Linked DNA regions of Cricetulus griseus. The protein of the gene in region 1 purifies or fractionates together with the protein of each later gene. This does not show direct contact. Links are inferred from orthologs where the notes say so. Each region holds a gene or a part of one and is shown on either strand. Other genes may lie near its edges. The genes, in order: Bmp2k and Ap2m1.

Region 1 (3,817 bases):
AGCTCTCTGGACTTCCCGAAGTCTGCTGAGTTCCTGACTCTGATGCCTAGTTTTCAGGAGCTGGGTTTTCATAGGAAGAGCCCAGCTGTGGTTATAGTACTGAAGGATCACAGAAGCATTCACTCTTGGTAGCTGAAGACATGGCAGGGTAGAATGCACACACAGTGGAAAGTTTCAGAGCAACTAGAGAGTCCTGTGAGTGCTAGCCATATAATGGTGAGGAGGGGAAGCACACTGGGAAACTGAGTCACTCTGGGAGGGGTCATATGGGAATGAATAAACCAGAGAGAATGGTGTAGATCCAAGAAACCAAAGCTACAATAACTGGTACAGAGATGGTCTGGACATCTGCTGGCCAGGAGGCCTGCATATAGGTGGAGGTGAAGTTAATTTAGCGGGAACTGGAGATGAATACATCCTAAAAGTGGAGGTGGTGCCTTGAAATTCCCACCTTTCAAGTACTGGTAGGATGCATAGTCACAGGAGCTAAGTATTAGAGATGTCAAACTGGAATTTAGGATTAAGAGTCGAGTTAAGAAGACTAGTGTCAACCAGAACAAGGCAGTCACTGTACAGTTTAGAACTTGAGAGAATATGGAAGGAGAAACAGCCAAAGCTAGAACTCTGGGGGAATGTATATAGTTAAGGTGTTTAAAGTGTTAGTGGAAGAAAGAGGTCTACAGGGTTGTAAACATGACAGTGTGGATTTTGAAGAGAAGGAAATAACTGAGGCCACCATGCCAGAGATCACTGTGTGCATGATGGAAAGTGATAGTTCCTCCACCATAAGCTAATTAGTTTTTATGAGTACATATTGTACTTGCAGGCCTCAGTAATTGGAAAAAACCCTTAGTTAAATAAGGAGAGGAAGAGATAAGTGTGTGTAATTGGATCAATACAAATTGATTCTCACCTCTGGAAACACCCAGTTCAGAAGACCAGTAGCATATTCTCAGATAAACTAAGGTTTCTTAATTAAAGATGTGCCTGCCATGGAAGGCACACAGCTTTGGTGCAGTCTCATTAAGTGTCTTTGATAGTGGCTGTGTCAGAGTTGGTTCTCAGCTCTGATCAGTCTATGTGAGACACATGGATACTAACTTAAAATACTCAATTTTAGAGAGCAGATTGCAGACATAACACAGAAAACAACATGCTGACATGTAGGTAGGCAGAGACTATAGTAAAGAGAGTGGGTGGTCTGATTTTGACAGTGGAGAAGACCATTAATATTCTTGTCCTATTGAGGGTCCTGCTATTGTACAGGTGCTGTGAATGCAGTTTCTTTGTAGTGAGGGACTATGCCAAGCCTATGGAGATGAGAATATGTCACACTGCCTGCATTACAGTCCCTAACACCTACCCAGGAAAAGATCAGAGAAAGAACGGCACTCTCCTCCAGGAGGGGTCCTGGCGAGGTCCGTAATGTCATGTGCTTAGTACAAGTGGATACTGAAACTCTGAATACCGTAATGACTTTTCTTTGAACCTTTAGGTTCTCCTGAAAAGAAAACTGAACGTTCTCCAAATCAAAAAAATATCACTGCAAACCCTACCAAAAATGGGAGCGCAAGTCCACTATGTAAAGATCAGCGGGCTATAAAGAAAACCCCAGAGAACCCAGCGGTTCGGGGTCAAGTGCAGAAGGGGCATGACGAATCTGAAAGCGATTTTGAATCGGACCCCCCTTCTCCTAAGAGCAGTGAAGAAGAACAAGAAGATGAGGACGCTCAGGGAGAACACGGGGACTTTAATGATGACGACACCGAGCCCGAGAACCTGGGTCACAGGCCTTTGCTCATGGACTCTGAAGATGAGGAAGAGGAGGACAAACACAGCTCTGACTCGGAGTATGAACAGGCTAAAGCCAAGTACGAAACTGGTGGGGGGCGGAGCCCAGCCCCTGACCCAGCACTCCTCTCCCCCGCCTGTTCACCGACTGATGCGCTGACTCCTGGCCAGGAGTTTGATGTGTTCGGTGCGGTTCCCTTCTTCGCGGTGCAAGCTCCACAGCAGCAGCACAGGGGGAACGGGAAGAACCTCTCCCAGCAGACATTTCCGGAGCAGGAGGACTTTGATGTGTTCACAAGGGCACCCTTCAACAAGAAGGTGAATAATGTACAGGACTGGCCCACAGCGGGGCCTGACACGCGCCCGTTGCCTGCACGGCCCAGAAGTGTAGATATGTTTGGCTCCACTCCCTTTCAGCCATTTTCCACATCAGCGAGTAGAAGTGAGAGCAGGGAGGATGTTTTTGGGCTCGTGCCCTTTGAGGAAATAACCGGAAGTCAGCAGCAGAAAGTCAAACAGCGCAGCTTGCAGAAACTGACTTCTCGCCAGAGGCGCACAAAGCAGGATGTGTCCAAAAGCAATGGGAAGCGCCACCACGGCACACCCACCAGTTCAAAGAAGCCCCTGAAGCCTCCCTACCGCACCCCCGAGAGGGCCCGCAGACACAAGAAGGTGGGCCGCAGAGACTCACAAAGCAGCAGTGAGTTTTTAACAATTTCCGACTCGAAGGAGAACATCAGCGTTGCACTGACTGATGGCAGAGACAGAGGCAGTGGCCTGCAACCCGAGGAGAGTCTGCTGGACCCCTTTGGTGCCAAGCCTTTCCATCCTCCAGACTTGTCGTGGCACCAGTCCCATCAGGGCCTAAGCGACATCTGTGTTGACCACAATACCATCTTGCCTGGGAGGCCAAGACAGAATTCAGTGCACGGGTCATTCCATAGTGCAGACGCATTGAGAATGGATGACTTCGGTGCCGTGCCCTTTACAGAACTTGTTACACCACGTGAGTCTCAACAGTCCCAACCAGTCGAATTAGACCCATTTGGTGCTGCTCCATTTCCTTCTAAACAGTAGATACTCCAGGTGGACTCGGCAATAACTCCTGTTTCAAAAAAAGTATGAATAGTTTTATGAATCTGAAAGAAAATCTATTTGTATATCCTTCACTCTTACAGGTTAATCAGAATAGGTGATTTTTAAACAAACCAAATGTAAGTATCTGTACAGGGTAGTGAGGAATGCCTTCATCGAGCATGAAGTGGCCTAAGTGGAAAGGCCTAAGTGGGCCTAAGTGGAAAGCTCCAAGGGCTTTTGCTCCTGAGAGATACAACTGTGGGGCTTCCTGGGAACGCAGGTGTATGGCCACTGAGGGACAGGAAATCGTATCCCTTGGGATCATGTCATACAGGTGCACACCCCAGGTCCAGAGATTCAAGCCAGGCTGACTGAATGTTTGCACCCAGGAGGAAACAGCCTGCAGTGTGCTCTTCAGTTCATACACTTGCCTGTAATGTAGAGCCAGAAGTAACTGACTATTGTGCCTAAAACTCTGTTGCATTTTTAAAAACAAGTGCCATTAATAATGGACTCTATAATGAAAACTATATGAAATATTGTATATGTTAACTCAATTTAGCTCTTCCTATGGTATATACATCAAAACATGTATATGATAATATATATGCAATTTTTAATCTGTCAAAAATAAATTTTTAAAACATGGAATGCTTAATAGAAGCCTGGAACAAAAACGTAAAGAGAAATATCTGGCATTTGAAAAATGTAAAATAATGACACATCAAAAAGAAAAGCAACATTTGGTACTTTAGAAATAATACATTGAATGGAGTTTTGCCAAAATCTTTATCATCATGTCCCTAGCGAAGCATATTGATAAAAGTGGGAGGACAGAGGTTATATAGAAATTTAACTTCAGGAAAAACTAGCTGGAACTTTAAAATTTTAAGATGTTTACAATGTAAAATCATGTTGTATTTACTACTTTATTACATCACCACCCTTA
Region 2 (3,917 bases), on another chromosome or scaffold:
TCTAAGGGACTTAGGACATGGAGAGAACTACAAAGGCAGCATGACCCACAGAGCCCTTCAAGCCTGTTCACAATCAGAAAGGGCCCAGAAGTGAAAACAGCCAAGTCAACCCACCAAAGAGGATTTTACAGGGATCTAGGGAAGACTCTCAATATGAGAAGCATTTTGAAAGCAAGATTTGGATGGATTAGTGCCTCGCCCTGGTACTAACTACACCCACTGGAGATAGATAGCGCTCCCTCCTGAATGGAAGAATCAACCTGACTGGGAAAGCACTCATCGTTAGCAACCAGACCTAACCCTCAGAGATACAGGAACAGGAAGGGCGGGGATTCATTCCTAAGCCTGGCAGCTTGGGGGGAGGGTGTCATTCCGAGGGCCCGAGTCTCGATGCTAGGCCAATGGCTAAATGGAAACCAGGCTATATTGCATGCTCAGGCTGAGGTGACAGGGAGGTTGGGGTACAGCATGCTCAGCCAAGGAACTTACCCGATGTCATCTCTGTACACCCGGGAGATGAGCACCTCCCCCTTGTGATTATAGATGAATAAACCTCCAATCATGGTGGCAGCTCAGTCTCTGTGACCCATTGCTCTGAGAACAGACCTATGAAGGAAAGGTGGGGGTAGGGTAAGGGAAATCTTCAGAACCCTTGCCCAAGCCCCCAGTGGGGCTATACAGGCTTGGCTTTTTTCCTGACTCAGTCCTCTAACAAGTGACCCTGCAGCTTTCCTAGGGAAGCCCCACCTCCTCAGCTAGGCTCCAGTTCCTGTTTATTCCACACTGGATAGGAGAAAGCAATTTCAGAGCGTGGGGGCCCATGATTAAGGTCACATTCATCTAGTCTTTCCCAAGGGTTGGGCCAGAGGGTAACCCCCACCCCTTCTTCACAGTGCTGAGCTCAGCAAGGATTCTTTCCAACCCCCTGCTGTGCAGGCTCCAATTCAGGCTCCTTCCAGTGACTCACTGAGAAGGCCTGCCTGCGGTTGCAGAAATGGCAGTAGAAATTACTCTAGTTGGCTTGAGCCTGGGACCTCCACCAGGCACAACCTTAGAGCAAGCACTAACTCTTCCAGGAAGGCAGCAGAGCATGAACCTCTAGAAGTCTACACATTCCAGGAAAGGGTGTGCAGGAGGGGGTAGGGGAGGGAAAGCAGGCCCATGGAGGCAGGAAAGTGGCTGAAGCAGGTACATCTTTCCCAGGCAGTGAGATAAGCAGGCAAAGGAGCAGAGGCCCCCAGTGCTGACAAAACACACTTCATAACCCAAGTAGCTTATTATAGTTCTTCCTAAAAAAGATTTTATTTTACCTTCATGTATGTACATGCCAGTGTGTGTGCTGTGTGTATGGAAGCTGGATGTGAAGCAGTGATGAGCCACCTGACATGGGTGCTGGGATCTGAACTCAAGTCTTCTGGAGGAGCAGTAAGTACTCTTAAATCGCTGAGCCTCTCCTACAGTAATTTCTGGTCACTGTCCTTTCAAAATTTTGAAGTGCATTAAAAATAAGGTCTGTGTGTAGCATTAACCCTCCCATCTAAATTATGATCTACCAGTAATTCACTTCAGGCCTGGTATTTAGAAACAATGGGCAGGGATCATAGAATGCCTCAATTGTCCAAAGTATTTGGGTCAAAACTAATTTAGACTATTGGAGAAAAGGGGTTATCTGGTTCTAGATTTTCTGGATTAGCCCAGGTATTAATTTCACAGGAGTTAGTTTAACAGACTTTCTGAAACTGGAAAATAAATCCAAGACCAATGACAAGTCTCTTAAGGTGGTGGACTCATTTGCATCTCACAGTTCCAAAGAAGCTGAGAAAAAAAAAATGTAAAATGGAGGTTGAGTCCTGAGCAAAGGACTAAGTCCACAGGTAACAAGCAGAAGGTAGCTCAGGGCACTGGAACCGCGGATGGGGGTTGGTTGTACTTGTGTGTGTCCTGGACAGACATGGAATATTTAGTTAAGGGAATGGTTAGCTGTAATTGCTAGCAATATACTAGGGTGACCCCACAGCAGCTAAGACGGCTGTGCGAGGCCCTAAATTAGTTCTCATATAGCAAAGGTCATAGGTGCTTTTGAGGAGCAAAAATCGGCGGAGACATACTGACAGTAGAAAAAGGGAAAGCTGAGAGACAAGGCCTACTCTGCGGTTAGTGAGGCTTGAGAAGCCGGTGGGGTTTTCTCAGCCAAGGGAGGAGATATCCAGGCCAGGGAGATGGCACCGCGGCATGCGGGGGCTGTCACAGGTCTGAGGAGAAAGAGCCGTGGGGGTTAAATAGGAGGAAGGAATATCCCAAGGTTCGAGACCTGTCACTGTCCAAGGGAGTGGCACAAGGGGATGTCACTGTCCTGGGGGATGGGGGAGATGGGACGCCTCAGGGCTGAGCGCTGCCAGGATTCTAGGGGTGGGGGCGCCGCGCGGCGTCCTGGCTCTAGGATTCGGGCCCCTGTCTCTCCCCAGAGACGCCCGGCGGGTCACTGGAGGGCGTCGCTCCCCGCCCTTGCTGCAATCGCGCCCGAGGCACCTCCGCCCGGTCGTCCGCTCCCTCCCGGGTCTGAAGGCTGAGGCCACTCCCGGGTGCGGGCAGTTTTGCACCCAGGGCAGTGCAGGGCACGGCCGGGGTCCACGGCGCCCTCGCCAGCCCGGTAAGGATCGGTAAGTCCAGCTTCCCAGCTCACCTGGAGTCAGCAGCCTCCACAAGGCCGGCGGGCCACTCTCGGATCCCAAGATGTCCGCCCGCCCCCTGCTCGCCTGTCCGCTGCCTCGGCTTTCACTGCAGTGCTCCCGCCCCGCCCCGCCCCGCCCTGATCTCAGCTGCGCCTGCGCACTTGCCTCCAGCGGCGACTACAAGTCCCGTCAGCCCCCGCAGCTTTCAAACTGCTAAATCAGAGCGCCCTAGGTTTAGCAAAACTACAACTACCGACGGCCTTCGAGAGAACCGACGCGAGCCTTAGTGCGTCTTGCTGGCAACACGCGTCATAGTACACTCCTCCCATTCATTTGCTTCATTGAGTATCATGGGAAGTGTAGTCTCTGCAATCCTTCCAATTCCTAGTTAGATTGTTTCGGTAGGCTTTGAGAGATCAAAGCTGTTTGTCCAAACCAGTTGTAAATTTTGAATTACTGTAGTCTGTAATTGTCTTCAGATTCCGAAGACTGGCTATCTTCACTTTACAAACAGAACTTGGCATGAGCCTGTTAGAGCTGAATTCTCTGCTTTTTAACACCAGGATTGATTCTCCCAAGGTAGGTGTCGATTACAATCATGACTGGGCCTCTCCCAGGGCTAATTATCCAAAGAGAAGAGTGGGGAGGGCAAATCTTGGCAAAGCTAATTCTTGGCAGAACTAGGTAACGCTTTTCTCAGCTAAACCTGTGACTATGTGTGCTGGTGGTGCACTCCTTTAATCCCAGCACTGGGGAAGCAGAGGCAGGAAAATCTCTGTGAGTTCGAGGTCAGCCTGGTCTACATTGGGAGTTCTAGGACAGCCAGGGATACATAAGAGACCCTGCCTCAACCCCACCTCAATTTAGTTGGGCATGGAATTAAGAAATTCCATCTCTCATGTTATCCAAACTGAGAGAATGAGGTGGAGCTAACCCTGGACACAAAAAGCCTGCCTGGTTCTTGCCAAATCAAGAAAATGTGGTTCTTGTCCCTCTGTAGGCAGAGACATCCTGTTGCTGAGCAGGCCCAAGACTTCTATATGGTGGAAAGGAATGGGGTGGGGTGGAATGGGGAAATCTAGTTGCTAATCTTACTATTCCTAGCAACCTCCTTCCAGAAGCCAGGACATAACAGGATGAAGACATGACATTTCTCAAAAGACTATCAAAAGGCTTTGGGACATTATTCAGTGATCAAAACCAGATACTTCTAACCCTTGAACCACCATTCAAGATTTCAAGTCT

The links.
Region 2: the proteins of Bmp2k (region 1) and Ap2m1 purify together in Homo sapiens (affinity purification with mass spectrometry; 3 studies listed by BioGRID and IntAct, counting the BioPlex papers as one, with this or other methods). This does not show direct contact. The link is inferred for Cricetulus griseus from reciprocal best matches to the Homo sapiens genes BMP2K and AP2M1.

The regions. Positions count from the first base shown.
Region 1 is NW_023276807.1:159,391,639-159,395,455, forward strand, and holds part of Bmp2k (BMP-2-inducible protein kinase), read left to right. Parts: intron 1-1,495; coding exon 1,496-2,868; 3' UTR 2,869-3,817. UniProt on the Homo sapiens protein: May be involved in osteoblast differentiation.
Region 2 is NC_048597.1:68,100,602-68,104,518, forward strand, and holds the start of Ap2m1 (AP-2 complex subunit mu), read right to left. Parts: upstream 2,805-3,917; 5' UTR 2,684-2,804; intron 607-2,683; 5' UTR 564-606; coding exon 490-563; intron 1-489.